2 linked regions of the Ovis aries genome follow. The protein of the gene in region 2 interacts with the protein of the main gene of each other region in a pairwise test. Links are inferred from orthologs where the notes say so. Each region holds a gene or a part of one and is shown on either strand. Other genes may lie near its edges. The genes, in order: AP2S1 and AAGAB.

Region 1 (3,830 bases), on a different chromosome or scaffold from region 2:
GAGGCACTGGCAGGGGTGGGGGTAGCTGTCACCTCCACAAAGTTGGTGTGTTTGGCGTCTCGGACAGTGACCACAGCATGCACCTCCTCGATCAGCTTCTGTTTCTCGTCATCATCGAACTGCATGTACCACTTGGCCAGGCGCGTCTTGCCTGCTCGGTTCTGGATGAGAATGAAGCGGATCTGGGGATGGCAAGAGGAGGAGGCAGGGAGAGAGGTGGGGTGGGCGAGCCAGTGCAGGGCGGCCCTGCCCAACAGCCCCACCCTGCCCCATGGGGAAGATAGGGTCCATGTGTCCCGGCTGCCTGCCTTCCAAGGGTCTCCGCCACTCCCCTGAGCCCAGCCAGGCTGACCTGGCCACCTGCTCTGGTCCCAGGTCCCTCCAACACCCCGTGGAGTGATCTCTCATCCACTGGCCAACTCTGCAGTCATTTCTAGGGCGCTGAGTCCCAAGCTCCACCAAGTCTTGTCTCCCTGACCTTGGACAAAAGATCCGCCCTTCTACGCCTCAGTTTCCCCACGGTGAAACAAGTTTTCCTTAGAAGACTCACCTTGTCAGGGTGTTTTGAAGGTTAAATAAGTTTATAAATTTAGTCAGTGGCTGGCACTAACAGGCAAGCCAGGTGTCAGCTGCAATTATCATCAGTGATGCCTAGGAGACCTGAGGTGTTTTTAAGATTTTGAAACGCCAGCTCAACTGTCACAGGGCTACTGTGAACACCGAACAAGTTGATCTCAGAAGTGTTTTGTATAGTCCCATTTATATACTGAGTGTTCAATAAAATTAACTATTATGACTGATGCATTTGACCAAGTGGCTAAAAACACAGACTCTAGAGCCCATATGAATCCTGGCACTGTTGGCTGTGAGTCTGTAGGCAAGTTACTTCACCTCTCTGGACCTCAGTTTCACTGTCTGCACAATGGGTATAATGAGAGCACCTCCCTCATGAGACTGTTGCACGAGTTCATGAACACAGCAGGGATAAAACAGTGACCAGCACATACTAAGCATTATACAAATATTAGTTCTTAGCGATATAATTCATTGTTATTTGACTTTAAGAAAATCATGGGCCAAGTGCATGCAGCTAGGAAGTCTGTCTTTGAGCCCAGTTCTGTTGGAGATGGGTGTGCTCATGTCCATTTTATAGATGAAGAAATCGAGGCTCAGAGAATGGAAGTCTCACAGCCAGAAAGCAGAGCTGGGAATCCAAAGGCTTTGCTCTGAATCTCCTTATCCTGACTTGTGGAAGCCTCCACCGGGTCATGAGGGGTTGCTCTCTTTCGTAAGCCTCATTCTCCACACACTCCATCCCTCCTCCCGCAACTCATCTGAGCTGGACGGGAACAGGATATTACACTCTCCTTCCAAGAACCCCTTCTGCTGAGCCAGGGAAAACCACTTCCTAGCAAGGCAGGGGTCCTGGCAGGCAGGCAAAGGGCATGGGGTGGGGGTGGGACTCACACCAGGCAGCCGCAGCCTGGGGGCCAGAGCCAGAGATAGATGGAGGAGATCGGAGGAGAGATGGGAGCAAGGCTATAGAACTAAGGGAGAGCTCTGTCTCTGAGTCCTGAACTCCCTCATACACTTCTTCCTGTTTCTCCTTCCAACCAGAGTCTCTCCATCCCAGGGAATCCACACTGAGAAGTCCCATCCTTTCTGTATCCTCGCCCCTCTGATGTCCCCTCTCAGTGCCCACCTCCCCCCCGGCCCCCCGCCAGCCTTCTCTACCTCCAAGTTCCCCCGGCCCCCCCGGAGTTGCTTTGACTCCTGCTTTCCCAGTTTCAGGGCTCTCTGTCAGGGTGCCCCATCCCTGGGGATTGGCGCCAGCTCCAATGCCCAGTCCTTGTTCCCCAAACCCCCTCTCCACCTCTCACTTCCATGCTTACTCCCTACCCTGTGAGAACCCTCCTCTTGCAGAGACCTGTTCCATTGCTCCCCATTCATGTGTAGTATTCACTGCCTACTCCAAGCCTTCTTCCCTCTTACAGCACACTTTTCCTAACTCTAAAGCCCCATTCCCTACAGTACTTCCTGTCTCCAGGGTCCAGTCTCTTATCCTTGAGACTCTCTCACCAGCAGTATCCCACCCAGTTCCAACACCCTCTCTCCGCCTGCAACATCGGCTTCCTGCCCCTAGAGACCCCCTCTCTCCTATCTCAACGTCTCCCATTTTTCTCCAGCTCTTCTGACGCACTCCCGGAAAGCCCTCCGCTTGGGACGCCCCCTCCCCACCTCCAGTTCCTTCTCCCAGCTTCTGAGATCCTGCCTCATGAGTAGCCTCCCAGTTTCAAAACCCTCCAACCATCTCGAATATCTCCCTCCCGTACAGGCCTCTCCCCTGGCACCTGGTCTTCAAAAGCTCCCCCCTAGCCTCGAGAACCCCAGTACACACTCGCGCCCAGAACCACCCCCAGTTGCCTCCTTCGCCGGCCTTTGATCGGCCCCAATCCCGAGAGCCCGCGCCCGGCCCAGACCATCGCACCGCTGCAGGGGCGGCTTGTCAGTATCCCACCGAGCCTGGAGTACCTGCACGTGGACCCACCCTTCGCCCGTCCCCAGCGTAGGCGCGCCCTCGTTACCATGGCGACCCCCGTCCGGACCCCAGTGGCCCCGGTCCCGCGGCTTCTGTGTGGCTCCGGCTCCGGCAGCTGTTGGGGGACCCAAGCGTAGAAGCGGACTTCCGGCAGAAGAACTCGCCCGCCCTCTCGCGCACAGCCCACTGGGAATTGTAGTCCTGAAAAAAAAATAGGCTCGCTCGTCGGGGAGGCAACCCGGGAAAAGAGCCGGTCGCGCTTCCCAGCATGCCGCGCGACTGGGCTTTTCCTACGCCAAGGTTCAGGCTCCAAATGCATGTTGGGAGCCACGGGTTATTATCTCCTCAGAGGACTACAGTTTCCGACATGCCTGACAGCCAGCGAGACGAGAGTTGCATCCTGGGAAAAGTAGTTCCGTCAGCCCTCCCTCCACCTCCCAGCCTAGGCGAGAAGGACATGCTGGGAATAACTGTTTTAAATAAAACAGCGTTGGGAAATGTAATTATGTTTCCGTGCTTACCTAGTGCTCTGTTTAAAATGTGTTGAGTGTTTCTCTGGGAGACAGACAGTGGTTTAATAGCATCAATTTGGAAGTCAGAACTGTGTGCAAATCCTGCCGTCGCATTCCCTAGCTCTGTGACTTTGGGCGAGCAGTTTCACCTCTTAACTCAATTTCTTCATCTGTTAAAGAGAAGTGGTCAAGGGGTCACCTCACTGGGGTGGCTTTAAAGCTTCGGCCAGTTTCCCAAGTACTTAGCATAGTGCTCAACACATGGTAAGCGCTCAATAAACGTGAGTTAAAATCATGAATGTTCACTGTTTATATCATGTAATAGGGGTCTTCTTGCTTCCTATTCACAGGTACACCTGTCTTCTTACACGGCCCAGCTGTTGGGGACCCCTTACTAGAACACGGTGGCACATAGTAAGCACTCAATAAAGGTATTGCTACTGAGGGCAGACTTGCCATAATAAAAACAAAACATATCCTGGATGTAAATTAAAAGTGTGGTATTCGCAGAAGAACTAACACATAGGTGTTGAATAACTGTAGGGGCAAAAAGAGGTAAGAGATCATTTTCAGTTCTTGCACTCCTCTATCATCTACAGGGTTGGGACCAGGATAAAGTAAGCAATGTGCCCAAGGTACAAAAATTTAAAAGGCACTCACTCTTAGATGTTGACCCTTGCAAGGGCCTGAAAGTGAGCAGCTGGCTTGCCTCCCCTTGGTCCAGCCCTGTTCTCTAGCACTCAGCTAAGTGCCTGGCACAAGTCTGGTGTTTGACAAGT
Region 2 (3,813 bases):
TGTCCAGTAACGTATGGTGTAAATTTCAGGCATTTATTGAATCTGCATATCTTAGTACAGGGTGTGGGCTTCAGAAATTGGGAACACGTAAGTCTGAATCCGGGCTTCCCAGGTGGCTCACTGGTGAAGAACCTGCCTGCCAGTGCAGGAGCTGCAGGAGAGGCGGGTTTGATCCTTAGGTCGGGAAGATCCCCTGGAAGAGGAAATGGCAACCCATTCCAGTATTCTTGCCTGGAAAATCCCAGGGACAGGGGAGCCTGGCAGGCTGCAGTCCATAGGATCCCAAAGAGTCAGGACCGAGCATGCATACATGCGTAAGTCTGAAGCCAAGGTCACACTTACTAGTGGCGACCCAGAGTACGATCACCTGTCTCTGTACTCTAGTTTTCTTAAGAAAGGTAGAAACAGAATTCTTTGTCTCACTGCTGTTATTTCAAGGATAAAAAGAGTCCCTGTTCATTTGTGAGGGCCCCCTAGCAGCCAGGCAGGATGCAGCACCAGGAGCTGTACAGCTGGTCCATGCTGGGCCCTCATTCAGTGGTAACTTGCATCCAAGCCAGATTGACTGCTTTAGGATTCTTTGTATTTAGCACATACATAATACTGTGTGGCAAATCCTTATTGCAGATCCCATGTTAGACCTGGACATTCAAGAACTTGCCAGTCTTACTACAGGTGGAGGAGATTTGGAGAATTTTGAAAGACTGTTTTCAAAGTTAAAAGAAATGAAAGGTAATTGGATCCACTGGGTCTTACAGGTTTCCATAGTGATGTTCCTCTGTTTTATCTAGTAGGATTTTACTTTGTAACTGCTAATAGCATTCCATGCTTTGGCCTCATCTGCGAAATGTAGATACTGTGGGACTGTGCCATCCTCTGTTGGTAAAAATTTCTTTAGGAAAATTCTCCTCTTTTTTCATTCTTTTTCTTTTTCCTTTTCCTCCTTCTCCTGCCTGTCTGTTTCTTTCAGTCTGTCTCATTAACATGGAATCAGTAAGATCCCTACCAGTGTACTCACATCAGTCCCATCTGGAAAATTTGGAAGCCTTAAACTGTCTAACAGCTGTAATGACTCCACCATGAACATGTGTTTTTGCAGCCCATCTTCTAGTGTTAGAACATCTATGCACTCCAGATTCTCCTGTGCAATTAGATGCATTTCTTAAGATGTATTTTCCCCCTAGACAAGGCTGCGACGCTTCCTCACGAGCAAAGAAAGATGCATGCAGAAAAGGTGAGAAATTGAGTCAGGTATTTACTTACCTACTGCAGGCCCAGTGCTGCGAGAATTACATGTCACACTCGTTTACTGCTAAAGCGTCTTACTGTGAACTTTCTGTTGGGTATTCACTTATAATTATTTGAATATTTAGTTGCTGCCATCTAGCCAGGATTTTCCAGTGTATGTTGAGTGATGTGGAACATTGAGGCTCAGAATGTTTGCCTTCCTAGCTGTTGGGCTGGAAGACTCTTAGTTATTTTGTTTGGGTTGGGTTGGTTATTACCAACACATGTTCTTGGCAAGAAATGTATATGGTTTATGGTATTCCATTGTATGACTGTGTCATAACTTACTTATCTACTTCCCTTTTGGACATTTCAGTCATGTGCCTTTTTTTTTTTTTTTTCTGTAGTGAAGTTGTTCATATCCCTTATATGTCACTTATTTATACAGTTCTGATTATATCCTCAGTATAAAGTCTAGAAGTCCTGGATCAGGGTGTTCAGGGGTTTGATAGGTATTGTCAGAGCACTGAAGAGCAAGAGTTTTAAGTCTTAATCAGTTCTGTGTGTGACATGAAACGAGCTGAAGTTTAGGTGTTGCCTGAACTCCGTTGCTTGCTTCTCTCCACAGGTGGCCAAAGCCTTCTGGATGGCAATTGGGGGAGACAGAGATGAAATTGAAGGCCTTTCATCTGATGAAGAGCACTGAACTATTCATGCGAGGACTTACCTAACTAGGACCCTAGCACTCTCTCCCTGAGATTCTTCTCTCCTTAACCCCGTCATCTTTTGCTGAGCTTACCAGCATCATGTTGGCTGCCTGGTTTGTTTATAGGGTCCCGTTAATTTTAGTTTTTAGTAGAGGGTAAAGCAGAAATCTCTTCTCCCTCAGTATATTATAAGGGAGTGAGAAATTTTCATATAACATTTTTTGTTCTAGGAATGGGAGTGGGGTGAGCCTCGAAGGCCTGTGTGATTTGCCCAAGTTAAAGAAGAAAAACCACCACCAAGCTTCCCTGGTCAGTCTTTTGAGGAGCAATCCCTGTGTTCGTGTTGATCACTGCAGATCAGGAGTTTTCTGGTTTTCTCTTTCAAGGAGCTTGCTGCTCGAGGTTTGATGCTTTTGATGGGAGGAAAGGAAGAAACTGCACGTTTAATCTGTGCTGTAGCACAGATTATAGGTCAGCCACTGGCCCTCAGGTTAGTCTCTAGCGAAAAAAAAAAAAAGCATCTGCGTATTTCATTTGAAATACAGTATCTGACCTCTTGGTAGAAAGTATTGAAAAACCAGTGTGAATTTTTAGACTATAATAAATGATGCAAAGGTTTTCTACTCTGGTGGGGATAAAAATAAACCCTTCTCAACCAAGTTGTGGGCAGGGGTAGGGGTGGGGCATGGGTAAGAGAAACCTAAGGAATTTCCTATATAGGCCATTGAATTGGTATGATCCTGGCCCGAGATTTTTGCATTAGTATTACCATGTAGAAACTTTTCTTCCTTAGAGTTTGCTACTTGAGATGGCAGAGATGTGTTGTCACAGTTGATACCCTCAGAACAAGGGGTGTTTCCTCTTCTCTCTCTGAACTCCAGAGATCTCTGCCAAACTAGTGACACCTAAGTGGGACTTGGTGGGAAGGCATGCGAATCCCACAGTACCTGTGTTCCTTCCAGGGCTGAGGAGTTCGGCTCCAGGGAAACTGACCTCCACTGGAGAGAACTCCCAGAAGAGTGGGAAGTACAGCAAATGATACCTGTTTCTGTCTGTCTAGGGACTGTGAGATGCATGTCACGAGCCTTCCGTCTGCCGTGGCTCTCAGCTGGCTCAGGGCACACGGGCTGAGAGCTGCTGTGGCTCTCGGCTGGCTCAGGGCACACGGGCTGAGAGCTGCCGTGGCTCTCGGCTGGCTCAGGGCACACGGGCTGAGAGCTGCTGCTGGCCTGGTGTGGGTGTGAACCCCGTGGGTCGCCAGCAGAAACAAATTTCAGACCTGTCTCGGCGACACCTTCTCAGCCCTGCAGAGCCTGCTGCAGATGGCGGAAGGAATGGAATGCTCCAGGGTCCTGGCCAGAGCGGCCACAGGATGGAAGGTTTCAGCGAGTGCGATGTTCGGGGAGGGCCGTTCCAGGGAAAACTGGAGGCTGTCTTCCTTGATAACTTTTTTTCTTTTTCTTTTAACTATTCTGGGGGTCTTTGAGACTGTAGTTTACCACCATTCCAGCACTGTTTCTTTGAGGTGACTGCTTTGGCCATTGATGGGGAATGTAGGGAAAGTCAGTTCTGGGGTTGCAAAATGAAAGGTGGAACAAGTTTTTCTTAAAATATGAAAGGTTTCAGAGAACACATTAGGTCACATGGTTTGGGAAAACAGACTATAAAAAGCTGTGAACTTGATCTTGTGGATTAAACAAAGCCAGGTGATTAAAATGTGATTTATTTATAAAGCCTGCTTATGTATATTTTTATGGTTTTGTTGTTTTTTAGTAGAGGATGTGGGCAGGCGGGAGGAGGAGCCTTCCTTCATTGGATTAGGCATAAATAGCAATAATCTGTTCGTCAAACTCACCTTTTTAAATCTACCATTCGTGTG

What was found.
Region 1: the proteins of AAGAB (region 2) and AP2S1 interact in binary tests that used the Homo sapiens proteins (3 or more experiments, as listed by UniProt). The link is inferred for Ovis aries from reciprocal best matches to the Homo sapiens genes AAGAB and AP2S1.

What each region holds. Positions count from the first base shown.
Region 1 is NC_056067.1:53,704,527-53,708,356, forward strand, and holds the start of AP2S1 (AP-2 complex subunit sigma), read right to left. Parts: upstream 2,874-3,830; 5' UTR 2,859-2,873; coding exon 2,586-2,858; intron 183-2,585; coding exon 33-182; intron 1-32. UniProt on the Homo sapiens protein: Component of the adaptor protein complex 2 (AP-2). Adaptor protein complexes function in protein transport via transport vesicles in different membrane traffic pathways.
Region 2 is NC_056060.1:14,000,793-14,004,605, reverse strand, and holds the end of AAGAB (alpha- and gamma-adaptin-binding protein p34), read left to right. Parts: intron 1-627; coding exon 628-732; intron 733-1,099; coding exon 1,100-1,234; intron 1,235-1,855; coding exon 1,856-1,899; coding exon of another isoform or gene 1,900-1,933; 3' UTR 1,934-3,682; downstream 3,683-3,813. UniProt on the Homo sapiens protein: May be involved in endocytic recycling of growth factor receptors such as EGFR.